Nothobranchius furzeri: one gene and its partner. The protein of the gene in region 2 purifies or fractionates together with the protein of the main gene of each other region. This does not show direct contact. Links are inferred from orthologs where the notes say so. Each region holds a gene or a part of one and is shown on either strand. Other genes may lie near its edges.

Region 1 (10,092 bases), on a different chromosome or scaffold from region 2:
CTCAATTTCACCAAACGTCAGTGATCACTGATTATAAACACCCATTTCCCATATTTCTCCCTGGAAGACGATGGTTCTCCTCATTCCTTCATATTTAATTATTGGCTGGACAGTTCTTAACCCAGCTCTAGTAGTTTCTGCAATCTCCTCACAAGTTGTCTCTGATCCTTCTTATAACATGTATTATGAGCACAAGATGCTTCCATGATTGCTTAGGAAAGGGGAAGCTACCCATTGCATCAGCTGGGGTTACATAACAGCTGAAGCAGTAGTTATCCTACAGATGGTTGTAAAACAGACGAGTAAAAAGAGGCAGTACTCAATTAAAGATATTTTATTATAAAATGGAAAGGCTGATAACAGCAGGGGTCTGACTGATTAGGTGACACCACAAATCTCGCTGATGGATGAGAAGATGCTTCTGATGAGCAAAGTTTCCAGTTTGTCATGAAAACCAGAGATCCTCCAGGCGGCTCTCCACTACTGCTCTGTTGATTCCGTCGCCGTTCCTCTCTACTGCACACTGAGGAACCTCCTCTTCTTAGCCGTGTGTGTATATGTATGGTGACGCCACTCAACTTCAGCTGTGCTCTCGTTCTCCAGAGTTCCCAGTTTGATCATGAACACTAAACACAGGAGGAACCAGTAAGTAACACATACTAAAATCATCCCACACAGTTGTACTTATTTCACTGAGAAACCATGTTAATACTATTCTTTTTGAAATACAATCGGGCTTCCTGAGTTCTTCGAAAACGCAGACCGTGAAACTTTTCCTCTAACGTTATTTCCTGCAAAAACAGCAGCAAGGAAATAGACAGGAAAATGATCAGGTCATTAAAAGCCAATCTCTTCCACCTCACAGGGAAATTTGGAATTTTTGGCCCTGCCCACCTAAAGCCGGGCGTACACTGTGCAACTTTTTCACTCGCAGCGTTCAGCTTCAGCTCAAACTGTACAACTTCCTCGCAGAGCAGATCTCACGAGCCAGGCGCTCACACTGCACGACCCAGTTCTCGGATGCGACCTGACTGCTCACACTGTACGTCTGGTAGCAACACATTAGACCTAAAATATATGCTAAAAATAGCAGTTTTTACTCAGCACGTCAAACGTTTTTGTCTTGTTTTGCCTGTTGTCCTTCGGGAGTGCTGCAGGAGGACACACAGGGATTTATGGGGGTTGGATGAGGAAAACGAAATAAAGAAAGTGAATCTGTGTTTTGTGATCAGTTTAATTTGACATGAACACGACAAACACGCTTTCTTGACAATCTTTGTGAATAAAAAAACGTGTAGAAACAAAAACGAACAGTGTGTGTTGTTAGGGAAATAGCGGGGAGCGGTGTTGATGCAGGATTGCGCATGCGCCGTGAGCGGTTCTGATACTTTTTGGGTCGCAGCTGCTCGCAGCGCCGCTTCAACAGTGCGATACCCTCACGAGGGACGAGCAAAATATTAAACACGCCAGAAGTCCATGCGAGCTCACGATTGCTGATCGGTAGCTGGTCACGTGGTGTTAATCGCCTCTCGTAACCCCCTGTACACTACACGACCGCTCGGCGCAAAACTCGCCCCGATCTCGTGGATTCTCGCACGACTGGAAAATCGGCTCAAAAAAGTGAAAAAGTCACACAGTGTACGCCCGGCTTTAGAAGTGGCTAACCATTAGCATTAGCGACTCCACATAACGGTGGAACACATTCAGGCTTGTGTTATTTGCGGAGATAAAACATCCACGCTGTATTTTCTCCTTAAGAAGAACGAGGCAGTGGAAGAGTCGTTTTAGTGTTAACCCATCAGGGGTGAGTAAGGCTCCTGTCCCCCTCAGACTGACTTCTACCACCTGAAACAGGTGTGCTAGAGCTTTTCATTCACAGAAAACACATTTTAAAAAGTATCGGTAACGATAGAGTGGCTAAAACGAGAATCTGTAGGTTAGTGGTTCGTTCCCAAGCCTCAGTGTCAAAGCATCCTCGGGGAAGATCCTGAGCCCATAGTTGTGCCGTTGGCGCCGTATAAATAGCAGCTTCCTCAGGAATGGGTTAAATGCAGAGAAACAATTTCCTCCAGGGGTCGATAAAGTATTAACTATTTCTGTAATGAATAATAATATTCTATGAATAACTTAATATTCATGCATTCAACATAACTGAGCTGGTGAACAGACGAATGGTTTTAAGAGGGACAGTAGGTGCAGAACCTGGCAGATGCATGTTGTTCCATCACCCCTGCTGCGAACCAAAGATCAGAGATGGTAAAAGCCAGATCCATACTCACACTTCATCTCAAAACGTGGTCCCACCTCCGTCAGTTCAATGTTCTTGTGGTCAGTTTTTTTGTAGGTGTGATGTCTGAAAAAAGAAACGTTTGGTTTTACAACAAAAACTTATTTCATGTGAGGAGGTCCTCTCTCACCGACCTGAAAGAGATGAAGTCCTCCTGGTTGGCAAACGTGATCACACGCCTGCTGTCCTCCTTGGGTACAGGGAACAGATACTTGAGGATATTTGATATCTGTGTGTGAACACAACTAGTTAGTTGCATAACCAACAAGGGAACAAGAATACCACGTGTGTGTGTGTGCGTGCACGCGCAGTGCACGGTTGGAGCTCACCCTTCTGCCGAGTCGTGAGGTGAAGTTGTGAAAAATGAGGTGGGGGTAGGCCTCTGACATGGTGCCGATATCAGGAACGTCGTGTCTCATCACCACGTTGTAGAGCGTGAAGTAGGCCGTAGGTCCAAACGGTAAATGGCACACAACCAGACCATCTGGAACGACACCAGAACACCAAGAGATCATTCAGAAACCATTTTTAGTTCTTTTTAAAACACCCCCCCCCCTCTTTTTTTAAACTGACCCCCCCCCCCAAAAAAATTACGTCCATGGTGGGGAGAAATTAGCTAACGACACTGATCAGAGAAGCAGACTGTGTCTAAAAAAGAGCTTGATCACAGCAGTTGCCTCCGTGCCACCAAGGATGAAAAAGATCCCCAGTGAAGCCCAAGAGTCTCACTAAAAAGTCTGTAAAAACACTCCGATCAGTGCAGTCATGTTAAGATTTCAGTCTTCTTTTTGATTTTTAAAAACATATTTTGAGATTTACATTTGTTTTTAGCAATTGTTGTTATTTAAAATGACGTTAATGATTTCTTTTAGAGAACAGATGTACTATGATCCCAAAAGAGAACACTTTATGTTGATATGTTTTTTATGAGAACAAATCTTTAATTATAATTAGCTTAATCATTTCTTTGGCCTGTATTTGATATTTTTTTAAATATTTCTCATTATATATATTTTTTTCCAAATAGTTCAAGAGATACTACAAAAAATGTGCAGTGTTTTGCATATTTATGGATTTTTCAATGGGTAATCTTATGGTTTTAAATAGTTTTATGGTGAATGTTTTCAATTAATTAATTAGAATCACATTTTAGTGATGAAAAATATTTCCAATACATTTAGTTATGGAGTATTAACATTTAAAATATTCAAAATAGTTTTTTTTTCAAATGGTTGAATTTTGTACTTGTTTATCAGTTTCAAAGTTTAATAAATCAGTCACTGAAGGCACCGTGCTCTATTTAAGGTCTTTTGTTTTTTACAACCAAAAATGGTTTTGCGCTGATTAGGGGTACTTGGCTGGAAAAAATATTTCACGGGGGTACATCAGTGAAAAAAGGCTGAGTACCACTGTTTTAGAAGATACGTCAACTTTCCAGTGATCGTGATCTCCCGAGTGCAGACACTCCCTGGAGCTCATGAGCAGACCGCGCTGCTGCCGTAACGTGCCTACCCCCGGTGTTAACTGGGGACTCTGAGCTTAGACCATCACAGGTAGTGGTGTACTTCCTAGTTTTCATACAGTTCCACAGCTTTGTGCCTTGGGTGGTGGAATCATCTGAAACTTATCACCAACACTTTTTTGATTTCTAGGAGGTTACCTGCTGAAGTCCACATGGACCAATCAGAAACCAGAATGCAGGAGGGAAACTGCAGCATACCTGGCTGTCCTCTTGTTTCGTGGATGATGATGAGGTCTGTAACTTCATTAGCTTTACAGGCTCGAACCAGAGCAGCAATCTCATGGTTTCCTCTGTTCATGCGCTGAGCTCCGGGAAACATCAGCTTCACCTCCTGGAAGAGGAACAAGAAGTTTATCATCTTCTACGAAACCCGATGTGTCATTTTCATAAAGATCTCTGCTGACGAATGTTGGCCGTTCCTTTTCTTTATCTAGACCCTAAATGTCCCAACACAGTCGTCCCCTTCTGAAAACCGGGATTATTTAATCTTTTATTAAAAGACGCTCTATCCAGACCAGGTCTCACCAGATCCCCAGAAGGATGACATTCCCCTGGACCAGGTCTAGCTACGGAACCTGAGCTTCCCTCACAGCTATCATCTAACCTTTGTGAAGGCATCACAAACCTTGGCAAACATCTTCAGTCTAGAGCTCGGGTCTCTGGACGTTGTGACCATGACTTTTGGATCTTCTACTCCGGCCCACTTGTACTCATCGTCCACATGTGAGCTGACACCTTCAGGAGGAACAGCGGATCGTTAAAAAGAGGCCCAGAACATATGTGGAGCTCACAATGACACCAGCCAACACTCACCTTCTGCCCCTTGGTCATCATAGTCCAGAAGCTTCTGCAGCTGCAGGGCTTCTCTCCGTACTTCAGTTGGAATCAGACGATTCTCTGCAGTCGAGATAACCCGTTACAGCCGGATGGCAACACAGCGCCAATCTCTCGTGATACAGAAGAAATAAAACCCTCACCCTCCAGAGCGCCCTTTATCTTCTGTTTCTTCTCCTCGATTGTTCTCAGCCGGTCCTCTTGAGCCTTCCTGTACAGGTACTCCCGCCTCAGTCTCACCTCTCGACGAAGCTACCAACACACAGAAACCACCAGCTGAGCCAGTTTCCACAGCCTCACCATAAATAACAAAAACATGAAACGCTCAGCTAGGTGAGTGCTGTCCACTCCAGCGGCATCAGAGCACCTTCACAAATCACACACACACACACACACACACACACACGTGCACACGCACACACACAGGATTTAAATAATAACCTATCTTAGGTTTTCATGGTAGACCTCCCGTTTGTTAGCTTGGCTCATGTTAGCTTAGCTCCACCAGCGCTAAACTAGGCGGGATAAAGTTAGCTTAAACAAATCGCTAACTTAGCTCTATATTCCCAGCGGACGGTTACCGATAAAACTACTAAAGATTCACACAAAACCAGTAAACTCACCATGATGGTACTGAGAAACTTCACAAGTCACATGGAAAAGAAGAACCCGGAAACACGACGAATACCTGCTGCTATTGGCTGACAGGAAGACCAATCAAAACGCCTGATACTGACTCACGAGCGTTTCATAATAAAAGCCACAGATTATTTGATTTACAAAATATAAAATAAGCATACACGTCTTCATAAGGTGCATAAAGGCTATTACATACAAAATATAGAAATAAGCAGGAGGTTTAAAAGAATTGTGTGTGTGTGAGTGTGTGTGAGTGTGTGTGTGTGTGTGTGTGTGTGTGTGTGTGTGTGTGTGTGTGTGTGTGTGTGTGTGTGTGTGTGTGTGTGTGTGGTCAGCAGCTCCAAAAACGTACATAACATAATACAAGTAAATCTAAGGTGCAATATTCCATTACACTTAACGTTTGTGCAAGTTTGAGATGAATACTGTGATTGCTCAGGAAAGAAACAGTTCCTTAATCTCTTTGTTCTGGCTTGTAGAGATCTGAAGCACCTACCAGAGGGCAACATGCTAAAAAGGTAGAAGCCTGGACGCGGGGTGTCCTTCAGAATGTTAGCTGCTCCGCAGAGATAGCAGGAACTGTGGATTGTAGACAGAGAGGGCAGCCGATGATGTTTTATGCAATCTTTCTGCAGTCTCTTCCTGTCACCCTCTATGCAGCTGCAGTACCACACAGTCATGGCGTATGTCAGCAGACTCAATGATGGAGCTTCTCCATCCTGAGCACCTTCAGAAATTGCAGCTGGGCCTTCCTGACGAGTGCTGAGGTGTTTACTGACCAGGACAGCTTGCCAGAGATTTGTATTCCACGGAACTTGAATGACTCTACTTGCTGTACACGTTCACCATTGATGAAGAAAGGGGCGGGGTCCACTACGTTTCACCTGAAGTCAAGGACAAGTTCCTTGGTCTTGGTGGTGTAGAGTGTCAGGCTGTTTGATGCACAACACTCAGTTTGTGGACCTCATCCCTGCAGACCGCTTCACGTCCCCCGTAATCCGCCTCACTGTTGGCAGTGAACCAATCAGAATGTCAGAAAGCAAATGGCTGTAAAGAAAAGTTGTATTCAAATTACACTTATTAAAACGTGAAGGTGCCTTGCTTTATGAGAAGCAATGATATGCTCTTCCAGCAAGAGGAAACAAACAGAAGCATCAGTGGTGATGATGTTTCCTGTTGGGTCTAAAGATAAGGTTTGGTTATCTTTAAAACCCTTTTCCACTTGACTCTTTCTCTTCATCAGGCAGACTCGAGCTACTCAGCCAGTGGCCGTGACATGCATTATTTTATTGTGATTTTGTTTTTACTTACAGGTAAGAGTCAACATTGTAATGATAATAGATGGTAAACTGCTTTAAGTAGAGAACTTTAAATGGGATCAGTCAAGTTTACTGATATAATAAATGTATTTTAGATTTTTTTAAGCAAAGCTTTTCTAATGTTCACCTCATCCACTGGCTGGTGAATTAATCTGAAACAGACATGTAATAATAATGATGATGATGATGATGATGATTTGACAGCAGTTTCTTACTGTTTGCAGGTGATGGGGCAGCTGTTCTTTGGCAGAAGCTGTGGTGTCCCCATGAGCCACAGCACCAGAACCTGCTGAGGGTCTGGTGCCGTCGAAACTCAGCAGACTGCTGCACCGGGCTCACCTTCAGCCACACAGCCCAGTCAGTGGATGGAGGCCGGCTCAGGGTGACCCAGGACTCCGGGTCCTTCAGTGTGGAAGTGCTGGGGCCGGGTAAAGGAGGAGTGTTCTGGTGTGGTGTTCTGAGCAGAAATAACACCATCATCAAGCTGGCTGAAGGTTACATCCACAGCTGTGAGTAAACATCTTCAGGTCCCACTTCTGTTCAGTAGTAATTAATAAAAGTCTGATGTCATAAGCGCCGGCAGGGTGTGAATAATAGAAAGTGTTTGAGTGCCTAGAAAAGAACTATATAAATGTAATTTATTATTATTAATAATAACAATAACATCCATCCATTGTCTGAACCCGCTTGTCCACGTGGGGTCGCGGGGGTGGGGGGGGCCTGGTGCCTATCTCCAGCAGTCAACGGGCAATCAGGAGGGGTACACGCAGAGACACACAGGACAAACAAACAATCACTCACACACACACACACACACACACACACACACACACACACACACACACACACACACCAACCAACCTAACTGTCATGTTTTTGGACTGTGGGAGGAAGCCGGAGAACCCGGAGAGAACCCACGCATGCACAGGGAGAACATGCAAACTCCATGCAGAAAGATCCCAGGCCGGGAATCGAACCCAGGACCTTCTTGCTACAAGGCAACAACTCTAACCACTGCGCCACTGCGCTGCCCTATAACAATAATAATACTATTATTATTATTATTATTATTATTAACAACAGCAATAAACATCCTAATGTTTGGTACCATTTAACATCCATACAAGAAACCTAACAGCAAATAATATTTTAGTATTATTTTATTCATTTGGAACAATAAAAGTTACACAGTAAACATCCTCCTAGTTTTGTGTTTGTAAACAACATATTTGGGACCGAAGTGGTCGTAGAAAACGCTGGACCACAACACCAGAGTTAAGACGTTAGCTCTTATTACCTAAATCCATCTGGTGATGTAAGAACTTAAAAAGTCTGTCCTTATTCTAGAGTTAATAAAGATCAGCTGTTCATCACAGATGTTGGGTTACTTAAAAGTTTTATTCAGTTTAATCAAAAGTTGTTCGCTCATTAACACTGATGCAGAAAGTGAAAATCAGAAAATGATGATGGTGGAAACGAACAATTATGAAGTCATCCGTTATATTTTATTGTGTAAATCTAGGACACATGAACACCTGCAGCACCTAAAGCTTCCACCAGAGGGCAGAAGACTGGCACAGGACTCAGTCCAGCAGGTTTTAGAGCAGATGTCCAAACTTCTCAAGATGAGAGTAGAAATAAAAAAGCTGAAACTGTTTTTTATTTATTCTCATGGGTCAAAAATGATTAAAATAGCCATAATAGTAAAAATCTGAACAAAGAAATCATAAAAAGTGTTGATCTACCCCAACAGCCTGCTGGAGGGACACAAATGGCCCCCGGGCCGTGTTTTGGACACACCTGTTTTAAAGGCCCATTAGTCATCACACACAGGTGAAGCATGTCCTCTGTGGGAGCAGTGGGAAATGATCTCCCAGTTTCTGTCTTTTCCACTTATGTTTTTGTTCGTTTCATTAACACGAGGTCGTATCTGGTACGTTAGTAGCTGACAGTGATGTGACTGTATCTGTGTCCAAATTCAGGGGCAGCATCCTATTAAGGACCCGTCCTACATAATCCACATAGGCCAAGTCCTTCCTAGACTGCTTTTGCTTATTTTTGACAAAAATGTTTAAAAACCCAAATGTAAATGAAGAATTCCTGCCAGATATGAACACACCATTTGAAACTGTAATCCTCCTGCTTCATCCTCTACTTTTACTAAAACAGAGATCTCCCATTCAGCCTGCGGTAGACCCTGGGACGGCCTTTGCCAATAACTTGTCCTTGAATTTCTGGGACATGAGGACACATTTTGAGCAGATTTTGGATTTGGACGATCTAGATGTTTGCTGTGACGTAATCTGCCATAAAAAGCGTACTCAGAAGGACGCTGCCTCTGGGTTTGGACACGGACGCCGTTTTTACCTTAAAATATCCGAAAAATAAAGATGGCCACCACAGTAAATAAACAATTGGTTTGAAGTTGAGAGATGTTTGTCTTTGGCTTAAACCAGCAGTGAATGGTGGTGTTGGGTATCACATCACATGGTAGGCACCGGCTTCCTCAGAACGTTCTAGCTGTATTACTTCTGGTCTCCTGCTCGCCTCTCCAGTCAGACACGGGTTCATATGGGGCTAGACCCGTGCCAAAACCACGTGCACGGGTTTTGGCACGGGTCTAGCCCCATAGTATCGGCTGCATCACCAGATGTGTCCTCCAGTCTCATTCGGCGTTGTAAACCTGAGACCGTCTGTGGTTTAAACAGCTGCTGACAGACGGTGTGTTTGTGTGTATCTGACCTACCCTGTGCTCTACACCACGCAGCCTCAGCAGCGTTCATCTGGAGCTTTGCTCGCTGGGTCCTTCTTCCCCTGCTCCCCATGACCACCATAATCATCTACACCTGCTCCAAAGGTACGTCTCCACCAGGAACCTGTCGCTTCACAAGGAGGCAGCTTGGTGCAGAAGCTCTGTTAAAATTTTTCATTTTCACTTTTCAGATTAAAGGATTTTTTTAGACTTTTTGTTGTTCTGGTTCAAATACCGAGACAATAAATGAAGTTGATGCTTTTTCCTTCACAGCTAAAGTTCAACGCTGCTGCACGAAGGTAAAATGTGGCTCATATTTTTACATGTAACTGATTTAGTGCTAGCTAACACGTCTCACATTGGGAGTGTCACCGTTTGTTTTCAGAGAGCAGAGGAGCCGGTGAGCGGATCTCTGGCTGATCCGGAGTCTGCAGATCAGCTGGTGTCCAGTCCAGAAGTGGTCACAACCCGTTCTGAAGTCTGACAGACAAGACCTTCACTGTTTTAAGAAATAAGTTTGTATTTATTGGACAAACCAAACTCAAACAGGTGGAAGGTGTCAGAAAGTAAACAAAGGTCCAGAACCAAACAAAAGCAGCGGAAACAGGATTTCCTAAGTTGAACTCGTTCTGAAGGGTTTGACCGAGTCGTTTCAGGGGGATGGTTTCCACGAGACGGGGGCTTTGCTCGAAACCATCATCAGCATTGATCCCACTACAGCCCAGAGGAGGAGGCTGCC
Region 2 (9,827 bases):
ACAAGATGGGAACAATACCGGTTGTTAATGTTGGCCAGTTTAATTTATCGGAACGATTTATTAAAAAATGACTGACATCGGCCGATACCGATATTGATGCTGATACATCGTGCATCCCTAGTAATTTAGTCAGAAAATGTCTCAATTTGTTTACAAATTCACCTCATTTTATTTGATAAACCCTCCCAAAGTAGTCTCACCATCCTGCAAACTAAAGTGAGAAGCAGCTAAGATGGATTCAACATGGGATCCAGATGCATGCGACGACTCTGGCACGAGAGGGAGTGTTTATCTGGCCGACATGTTTAAAACTCGAGGCGCACAAGAGCGAGGCCCTGAGACTCACAAGAACACCGTGTTTCAACCTCCCTCTGGGATGATGTTCACCGTTTGTCACCGACAGCAGCAGCTCAGAGAGATCCTGCTCCCGTCCAAGGCCCACCTTAAATCATCTGGACAGCTCAGAGGCTACAGGGCCTGAATTCATCAACCGTGTTTACGCACAGGTCTGTGTGCGTTTTGTGCTTAGAAACAATTTCACGCATTGTTTGGTATTCCCTATTTTGTACCTGTGTGTGAAAATATTTCTAAATGTAAGAACAGCTCTGAGCCTGCGTACAAACAGCATCTAGTGGTAGAACAGCAGAACTGCAACACTGAAGGTTTCAGTCATCCATGTTTGTTCCTCATCCAGAAATTATTTTAGCAATAAGTGACTGTGGCTGAAAAACGGCTTCATCACATAACGAATGCTAGCACCTGTGGCCAACAGGAAGCTGACACTGTAGCATGGCTGATCTCGTGTTATTAGAGGATTTGGTAGGGCATTCACTCTGGAGGGGACACGTTTTCCATGAGCGCACTGATCCTGAAGGACATCATTCCTCTTTTGGAGCAAAAAAAAAGCATGGGTCTGATACCGGTCCATATCAGATCGTTGACTACAAAAACCAGAACAAACAGAACCTGCATTCAGCCCCTTGGATATACAGGGAGTGCAGAATTATTAGGCAAATGAGTATTTTGTCCACATCATCTTCTTCATGCATGTTGTCTTACTCCAAGCTGTATAGGCTCGAAAGCCTACTACCAGTTAAGCATATTAGGTGATGTGCATCTCTGTAATGAGAAGGGGTGTGGTCTAATGACATCAACACCTATATCAGGTGTGCATAATTATTAGGCAACTTCCTTTCCTTTGGCAAAATGGGTCAAAAGAAGGACTTGACAGGCTCAGAAAAGTCAAAAATAGTGAGATATCTTGCAGAGGGATGCAGCAGTCGTAAAACTGCAAAGCTTCTGAAGCGTGATCATCGAACAATCAAGCGTTTCATTCAAAATAGTCAACAGGGTCGCAAGAAGCGTGTGGACAAACCAAGGAGCAAAATAACTGCCCATGAACTGAGAAAAGTCAAGCGTGCAGCTGCCAAGATGCCACTTGCCACCAGTTTGGCCATTTTTCAGAGCTGCAACATCACTGGAGTGCCCAAAAGCACAAGGTGTGCAATACTCAGAGACATGGCCAAGGTAAGAAAGGCTGAAAGACGACCACCACTGAACAAGACACACAAGCTGAAACATCAAGACTGGGCCAAGAAATATCTCAAGACTGATTTTTCTAAGGTTTTATGGACTGATGAAATGAGAGTGAGTCTTGATGGGCCAGATGGATGGGCCCGTGGCTGGATTGGTAAAGGGCAGTGAGCTCCAGTCCGACTCAGACGCAAGCAAGGTGGAGGTGGAGTACTGGTTTGGGCTGGTATCATCAAAGATGAGTTTGTGGGGCCTTTCGGGTTGAGGATGGAGTCAAGCTCAACTCCCAGTCCTACTGCCAGTTTCTGGAAGACCCCTTCTTCAAGCAGTGGTACAGGAAGAAGTCTGCATCCTTCAAGAAAAACATGATTTTCATGCAGGACAATGCTCCATCACACGCGTCCAAGTACTCCACAGCGTGGCTGGCAAGAAAGGGTATAAAAGAAGAAACACTAATGACATGGCCTCCTTGTTCACCTGATCCGAACCCCATTGAGAACCTGTGGTCCATCATCAAATGTGAGATTTACAAGGAGGGAAAACGGTACACCTCTCTGAACAGTGTCTGGGAGGCTGTGGTTGCTGCTGCACGCAATGTTGATGGTGAACAGATCAAAACACTGACAGAATCCATGGATGGCAGGCTTTTGAGTGTCCTTGCAAAGAAAGGTGGCTATATTGGTCGCTGATTTGTTTATGTATTGTTTTTGAATGTCAGAAATGTATATTTGGGAATGTGGAGAAGTTATAATGGTTTCACTGGTAAAAATAAATAATTTAAATGGGTATACATTTGTTTTTTTGTTAAGTTGCCTAATAATTATGTACAGTAATAGTCACCTGCACACACAGATATCCCCCTAAAATAGCTAAAACTAAAAACAAATTAAAAACTACTTCCAAAAACATTCAGCTTTGACATTAATGAGTTGTTTGGGTTCATTGAGAACATGGTTGTTGTTCAATAATAAAATTATTCCCCAAAAATACAACTTGCCTAATAATTCTGCACTCCCTGTAAACTGCAAATAACTACATAAAACGAACAGTCCGCTACTCTTGTGTTTTTCATATTTAATTTTAAGTGGAACCAATTTTCTTCATTTCTGACAGGATCCTCTCCTCTGTCCTGACTGCATTTACAACCTCTGCAACTTGTTTGGTTCTATTCTACTTCAGCAGCCAGTGCCGCGATCTTGCTTCCAATAATTTGATTTACAGGGATTCCCCTGGTGAGCTGAGGATGTGCCGTGACCAAATATTGTTAATTAAGGGCGTTTCTGCATGTAAACGACTGAACGGGCACCTGGGAACACACAGGTGGGATCTATCAACAGTTGATTGTGGAGGAAGGTGTGCATGAGTGGTTTGATGAATCAGGATTTTGGATTTTCGTAGGAACATTCTAAATGTCCTTCAGGAATATAGGAGAGTTTCTATGAATGAGGGCCCAGGTGACCTGACCTCTCATCCTGAAGCTTCTGCTGCAAAACAAGCCGTGGAGAAACTTTTACCTTTTCCTGCCGTTTCTCAAAAGATGATTTTAATTCGGATTTTTCTGAACTTGAAGCTTTTCCTCCAAAAATCTCCTCCATGTCCTCCCCCTCACTGCTCTCTTCTCCAGAGAGGTCAAAGGTCACCTTCTTGTGAGCTGCTTTGGAGCGACTTTCTTGCTCATCCCTGAGGAAAACATTTTTTTAATGAGTTGGAATTCACAGAACAAGCTTCCCCCCTCACCACAGCACAAATTAGACCCAGATCGACTCACTCATCGTTGTCCTCTTCATCACGATAATCACCATCTTCTTCTTCTTCCAACTCTTCTTCATCCTCTTCCTCACTCGCATCATCATCTCCATCTGACTGGTCATCAGTCTTAGCTGGTTTGCCCCCCACAGCACCAAAAAAGTCCTTGTACCTGAGATCTCTGGAGCTTTTTACCTGCTGTTAGAAAATAAACATTTATTTGTCTCTTCCATATGATCAGAGCCCAAAGTGATGAGTGATAAAATCATACCGCGTGTTTCTTCGGCTTTTTTGAGGACAGTATTTCACCGAGGTCAAAATCGTCATCCTCATCCGAGTGCAGGTCTTGGAAGTAGTCAACATTGTTGTCGCCATCCTCCTCTCTTCCTTCTCGCTTGTCCATTTCATCAAGAAATGACTCCATTTCTGACAGTTTGAAGAACTTATCGTCAACTTCTGAGGGAACCAGTTTTGTTTTGGAGCCTGCCCGTGCACTCGCTTTCTTCTTCTCTCGTTTCTCCAGAGCATCCACATCAAAATCTATATCCGAGTCATCTTCTGAGCCCTGCTCTGACCCTTCTTCAGCTTCCACAGCCTTTTTCTTTTGCATTCTAGGAGGAATTTTAATTACATTTTCATCATTATTCATTTCTTCTTCGCCTTCATCACCACTTTTTTCATCTTCTACCACCTCTTCCTCTGGCAGCAAAGTTAATGCCTCATCTGACAATGCTCCTTCAATAGATTTAGTGAAATATGTCAGCACAGCTTCATTCTGGAGCTCTAGCTCCTGCCAAATCTGCTCCTCGTCAAAGTTGTCCACAATGAGCTGAGCCAGCGGGCTGCCTTTACAATCTGAAGGCTCCTGGGATTTGTGGAGGTCATACAGGGTCTTCGTGAGGGAGGTAAATTCTGCTGCAGCACCATCTTGAAGGCTGAAAAGTAGAAAAACAATCAGTGAGACAAACGTGTTGCAGGGAAAGAGGTTCTTTTGAAAATGACCACTGGTTTGAACTCAGCGCAGCTTTCATCTGTGACAGCCAACTATCATACAACATCCATGCTGTTTACCAAAACTCATGATGGTGAAAATGGTTAGAAATTAATCATCAAAGCAAAATTAAATAAGGAAAAAAGGACAAAATCTTGGATATCATGCAAACAACCTTTGTCTGTAAATCATAGTTTTAAATGTTTTAGTTATATTGTATGGCAACATAAGCATTTAGGTCCTTAAACGAGAACAGACACATCCAGATCAAATTAGACCATAAGACTATGTGATCATTTTGAGGCACCACTGTCCAGTTACTTCAGATAATCTAGCAGGTTAATGTTATTTCACGGATGGATTAACCTCTCGTCTCACAATATCTCGAGTTTTATTATTATTAGCTTGCTGTACTGTTGGTGTCACTCAGCTACAGCCTTTAGTCAGAGACAGATCATAAAACCAAATAAATCCTAATTTTCGATATTAGCTGTCACCGATTGTGTCAAATCTAATAAAATGACATTTTCTTTCATTTAATTTAATAAAAAAAGTGACTCTAAATCTGAAAGAAAGCCGTTCTCAACTATTTTATTTAAATAAGTTTAACCTAACAGCTCTCTAAAGTATTTGCTAGCATTAGCATTTAGCTTTAGCCGATGATTGGTCAAGTAAATATCTCGTTTAAAAGAATAAAACTTTAGTAAAATAATGCAGAACACTCGCCTTAGAAAGTTTTCTGGTTGTGCCGTGTTAACATTTATCGTTTTGACACAATCCTCCAGTACGGCCCACATTTCTGCACCCGCCATGTTTTCCTACACATGTGTAGCCGAAAGTGTTGCAGGTAAACAGGCCCGACCAGAAACGCGTCCGCCGCTACAGATTGGTTCCTACGTAAAAACAAAATAATAATGAAAATGGCGACGTCGCTGCTGAAGGTTGCAGGTTTGTTTATATCGATAAAAGCTAACTGCTACAGTCAGGCTTCTCTCCGGTGCATTCTGCCTTGACAAATAAGAGTGTATAGTTGCCGATAGTTGCTCTCCAAATCGTCTCTCTCGACTTAAGCGCAACTCGCGATGTGTTGTGTTTACTTTCTTTTTGCGTTTTCAGGTTAAAAATGAGAAGATACAGTCAAAACTAAATGTTTTTATGAATACATTTCTATAAATATTACATTTCTATAAATATTGTCTGTCTTTCTATCGTAGTGAGTACCCTCAGTGACTTCCATTCATTTATGTGACTCCACTATGCCTAACTCATACCCATACCCTAACCATAACCAATGCTGATCTGTTCCTAACCCTAACCTTAACCAAAACTTAATTCACACCAGACCTCAAAAACCAACTGGTAAGCTTAAAAAAAACGAGGACCAAAACATGTCCTCAATTTGTGGGGAAAATGGTCAAAATGGTCCTCAGTATGTACACACACACACACACACACACACACACACACACATACAAGTATCTCAAATTAAAATATCTTAAATTATAAATTGTTTCCTGAATCATGTATGTGACACAGTTTAGTACATTTTTTAAATAAATTCACGTCTGTGGTACAAAAACATTCACCAAAACCGTACGTTTCATATCCCTGGTGCTTCCTGGATTTAAGGAGTTTTGTGTAAATATTAAACATTAAAATGTATCCGGAATATATCCATTTAAAGAAGTGATAGTGGTTTATTCAGTATCTAATGCTGTTTATCTAAACAGCTCAGCTCTTAATTATTTTTACATTATTTTTATTTTATTGTGTTTATTCAGTGGCAGGAATTTCCAGATGTTCTGGCGTTTCCCTCCTGAGGTCACATTCGACGACAGCGCCACTTCCTGGGTCTCTGTGGAAATTGGGGAAGCTGAACCATGTAGCCATTGCCGTCCCTGACATGGAGAAGGCCACGGCCTTGTATCGCGATGTGCTCGGAGCCACGGTGAGCGAAAAGGTGCCTTTGCCTGAGCACGGTGTCTACACGGTGTTCGTGGAGCTGGGCAACACCAAGCTGGAGCTGCTCCATCCTCTGGGGGAGAAGAGCCCCATCTCTGGTTTCTTACAGAAGAACAAGTCCGGAGGGATGCACCATGTCTGTATCGAGGTGAGAGACATCGACGGCGTGAGTCAGAAGACGCAACACATATTTACCCCGCTAATAACATACTGATTTATGCAACTATAATTAAACCACTGACATCTTTCCTGTCACATCAGGAGCAAAACAGTCTGCAGCACGGATACACCTTAGTGGACTAGTCCATAATAGTTCATAAAGGGTTTGTGTGTAATTTTGTGAAATTAAAAGAGGTTAATGACGGGTGATTTTGTGTTGACGCTGTACTTTTCCCACTCAGAGGTTCAATAGGGTAGTAACCCAGTGATTCTAGTTAGATTAATGATTAACTACGTTTTCCGCCTGTTTGCAGGTAGATGACATTAATGCTGCAGTGGCCGATCTGAAAGCAAAGAACATCAGAACTTTGTCAGCGGAGCCGCGAATAGGCGCTCACGGGAAGCCGGTCATGTTTCTCCATCCTAAAGACTGTGACGGGGTGCTGGTGGAGTTAGAAGAAGCGTGAACGTCGGGGACCGAAGACGCCTTCGTGTCCATTTACTCCATCATTACTTAGATGATTGCAGGGATGCGAGTGCTGATTGCTGGTTGTGATGTTCCTGTTTTGTTCTGGCTTAGGTCTAGTGTGATGTGTGACCATTTCTATAAAAGCTCTTGCAAAGCATTGCTTAGGGATTCTTTCGTGGGTGTGTGCTTGCTTTATTGTCTCTTCATTGTCCAGCAACAATCTAGTAACATGGTTTCACACAACAGCATGTTTTACAGCTCATATTTCAAATACGGATAAACAGTACCTTGCACATGTTCCAAGGCATCTTTTATTTATATCGAACACTTCATACAGAGAAGCAATTCAAAATGTTTTCCAGGAGCAAGAACATAAAACAGCAGATTTTAAAATGTAATTTAAAGAGCAAGTCACCCCCAAATCAACTTTTTTTCTGATAAACTATATAAATGTGTGTCTAATCGTGCTGCAGACACGTGTAGTCAATAGTTTTGCACTTAACTGCATTTTAGTTAATATTTAAATTTTCTGCCTAAAACTCAGTGTTGTGCCGATGTCAGGTAAAAACTCTGCACTGCATTTGAAATTAAATTTGCCATCGCTATTGGCTTGGGCACATGGCGCGCGCACACACACACACACACACACACACACTGATGTGCTGTAAAAGAAAAACAAGTTGTAGAATGCTTCATGTTTAATCTATTCCGGAACAATAAGGATAAGAAAACAATTTCAAATGCAGCCCAAAAGCTTGTTAATATTTACCTCATTCTGTTTTATTTGTGACAGATTGAAAAATGTGAGTTTTTTTCTGGTTAGGGTTGACATCAGGGTTCTGATGTGAAAGTCTAAGCTGTAGACTAAGCTACAAAGGAAGCCTGATCTCTTCTGCGCTTTAATATGCCTCTTCGTACATCAGGAACATTTTCTCACCTGGCCTCAGTAACTGATGCAGAATAAAATACCAAAGTACATTTAAAGGCTTAAAACAATCAAGATGTCATAAACAAAGGAGGAACCTTGTATACAGAGGCTAAGGCTGTGATCCCGGGTTGTGCTGCAGCATTTTTGAAGGTGTTGACAAAAACAGATCCTAGACTGGTGCCGTAGCCACGTAGAAACAAAAGCCTGTTTATTCACCAGGAGGAATGATTTTAGTGGGTAGAAATTCATCTTTGATATCAGCATTTTCTTTTCTTTGCTCAAAAGAAAGCACATTATGGTGGAACGGTTGTGGTCTTTCTGCAGGGTTGGCATGTTCTCCCCAGGGTGCTCTGGCTTCCTCCCACAGACCAAAACATGCATGTTAGGTTAATGGAGACTCGACATTGTCCCGAAGAAGATATTTATTTCTAGAAAACTTTTCACAGATAAAATCACAAAGTGCTTCACAAAAACGGTAAAAATATAAAAGTGATACATTAAAAACTAATTCTAATAAAAGGTAAAAGAGACGGGGGATGCTTGTCTGAAAAGAAGCTTTTTCAGCTGCATCCTAAATGAACAATTAGTCAGCAAGGCTTTCCACAGTTTTGGGGCCACGGCCTCAAATGCCATGTCTCAGGTTCTAAAGCGGGTCGTAGGGACCATGAGAAAGTTCTGGCCCCAGGGCCGGAGCTAGCGACCAGTGTGTGCGTGTGAACCTGATGGACTGGTGACATGCCCAGGGTGTCCCGGCCCCTCGCCTGCTGGGAATGGGAACCAGCCCCCCTCGACCCTACCGAGTTAAAGTCCAGTATTAAACATGTGGATCATAAAGCAAACACTTCCAAAGAGGAAAAATCATTTCTGTGATTTCAGAGCAACTGCAGCTCTCTGTTCTGATGGGGAGAAATGGACTTTTGAAAATGTTGACATTAGCAAAATGAACAAAATGTCAAAATTAATTACAGCTGAATCAAACGGGAGCAAAAATCAAATATTTGTTCACTCAAACCCAAAAGAAAACAGGAAACAGATGATTGCAAAAGCTGCCGACGCATTAACATTTGACTCATTCCCTGTTTGGTTTTATTGGACAACTCAGAAAAGCCCAGCAGACTTTAACCCGCAGACAAAAAAATACAAATTAACCTCTACAGAAATATGAGGGAAACTTCATGTACACTTATTGTCCTCTCTGCTCTGAAGAAACGCTCAGAGGAATCTTGTCTTTGCAGCATCGTATTTCCTGTGTCAGCAGCCTAAGGCAGACTGTAAACATGGAAATTCCAGAAAGCCGAGTCATGGTTTGGTCAGGTTCTTTTAAATGACGTGAATAAAATCAAACCGGGAAGTAGGAACTGTTTTCATGTGACTCCTAACATCCCGTACATTTGTGTGACACAAGATCAAACCCACAAGTTCTGCATTCATCTGCAACACGAACTCACTGAAACAGCAAAATAACTGACTAGACTTTAGATATTTAAGTAGCTGCTAGTGCAGTAAATTGAATATTGGATGAAAATAAAAGATGCCACTGCTCCAAAGTATTCAGACACCAGGGATGGAGTTTCAAAAATATTTCTCCAAGATAATTTCATGCAAACCGGAAAAACTGCAGCATTTTGCTTTTTAAGTGAACATGAATAGGGAGTGGGCAGAGCAGACCACCCTGAAACATAGCGGACGTCACCTCCAGCAGGTTGTCAAGTCAGCAAACTCCAGTTTGTTGGAAACTGGCAGTTTAAAGAGCAAAAACCAGTTTCACTGACATCCCAGTCAGGGTTTCAGGTCAGACTAGGCTCTGTATCAGCGGATCTTTAAGTACCTGGACAGCATTAGACACCTGTAATTTCACTTAAAGCTGGTCATTTTCCAACATGCTGTATATTTTCTGGGCATTGCAAACTTCTGGAAAACTGTAATTATTCACGTTTTAAAATGTCAAGAGGGCGTAACCTGTGCCAAATGACCTCATACAGGTCACCTCAGCATTCATAGGTTTAGATTGTTACAGATTCTAAAAATCAGAAACCTCT

The links.
Region 1: the proteins of mphosph10 (region 2) and imp4 purify together in Homo sapiens (affinity purification with mass spectrometry; 3 studies listed by BioGRID and IntAct, with this or other methods). This does not show direct contact. The link is inferred for Nothobranchius furzeri from reciprocal best matches to the Homo sapiens genes MPHOSPH10 and IMP4.

Annotation. Positions count from the first base shown.
Region 1 is NC_091757.1:26,551,295-26,561,386, forward strand, and holds imp4 (U3 small nucleolar ribonucleoprotein protein IMP4), read right to left. Parts: upstream 5,367-10,092; 5' UTR 5,270-5,366; coding exon 5,267-5,269; intron 4,896-5,266; coding exon 4,787-4,895; intron 4,707-4,786; coding exon 4,623-4,706; intron 4,545-4,622; coding exon 4,435-4,544; intron 4,141-4,434; coding exon 4,008-4,140; intron 2,772-4,007; coding exon 2,617-2,771; intron 2,517-2,616; coding exon 2,422-2,516; intron 2,354-2,421; coding exon 2,280-2,353; intron 627-2,279; coding exon 514-626; 3' UTR 320-513; downstream 1-319. Other genes in the region: uncharacterized protein, read left to right, coding at 5,701-5,709, 5,762-5,833, 5,943-5,965, 6,206-6,297, 6,476-6,595, 6,826-7,110, 9,369-9,458, 9,627-9,652 and 1 more. UniProt on the Homo sapiens protein: Component of the 60-80S U3 small nucleolar ribonucleoprotein (U3 snoRNP). Required for the early cleavages during pre-18S ribosomal RNA processing. Part of the small subunit (SSU) processome, first precursor of the small eukaryotic ribosomal subunit.
Region 2 is NC_091749.1:64,482,061-64,491,887, reverse strand, and holds the start of mphosph10 (U3 small nucleolar ribonucleoprotein protein MPP10), read right to left. Parts: upstream 5,149-9,827; 5' UTR 5,083-5,148; coding exon 4,997-5,082; intron 4,215-4,996; coding exon 3,551-4,214; intron 3,478-3,550; coding exon 3,302-3,477; intron 3,214-3,301; coding exon 3,048-3,213; intron 1-3,047. Other genes in the region: mcee (methylmalonyl-CoA epimerase, mitochondrial), read left to right, coding at 5,185-5,218, 6,052-6,380, 6,706-6,858. UniProt on the Homo sapiens protein: Component of the 60-80S U3 small nucleolar ribonucleoprotein (U3 snoRNP). Required for the early cleavages during pre-18S ribosomal RNA processing. Part of the small subunit (SSU) processome, first precursor of the small eukaryotic ribosomal subunit.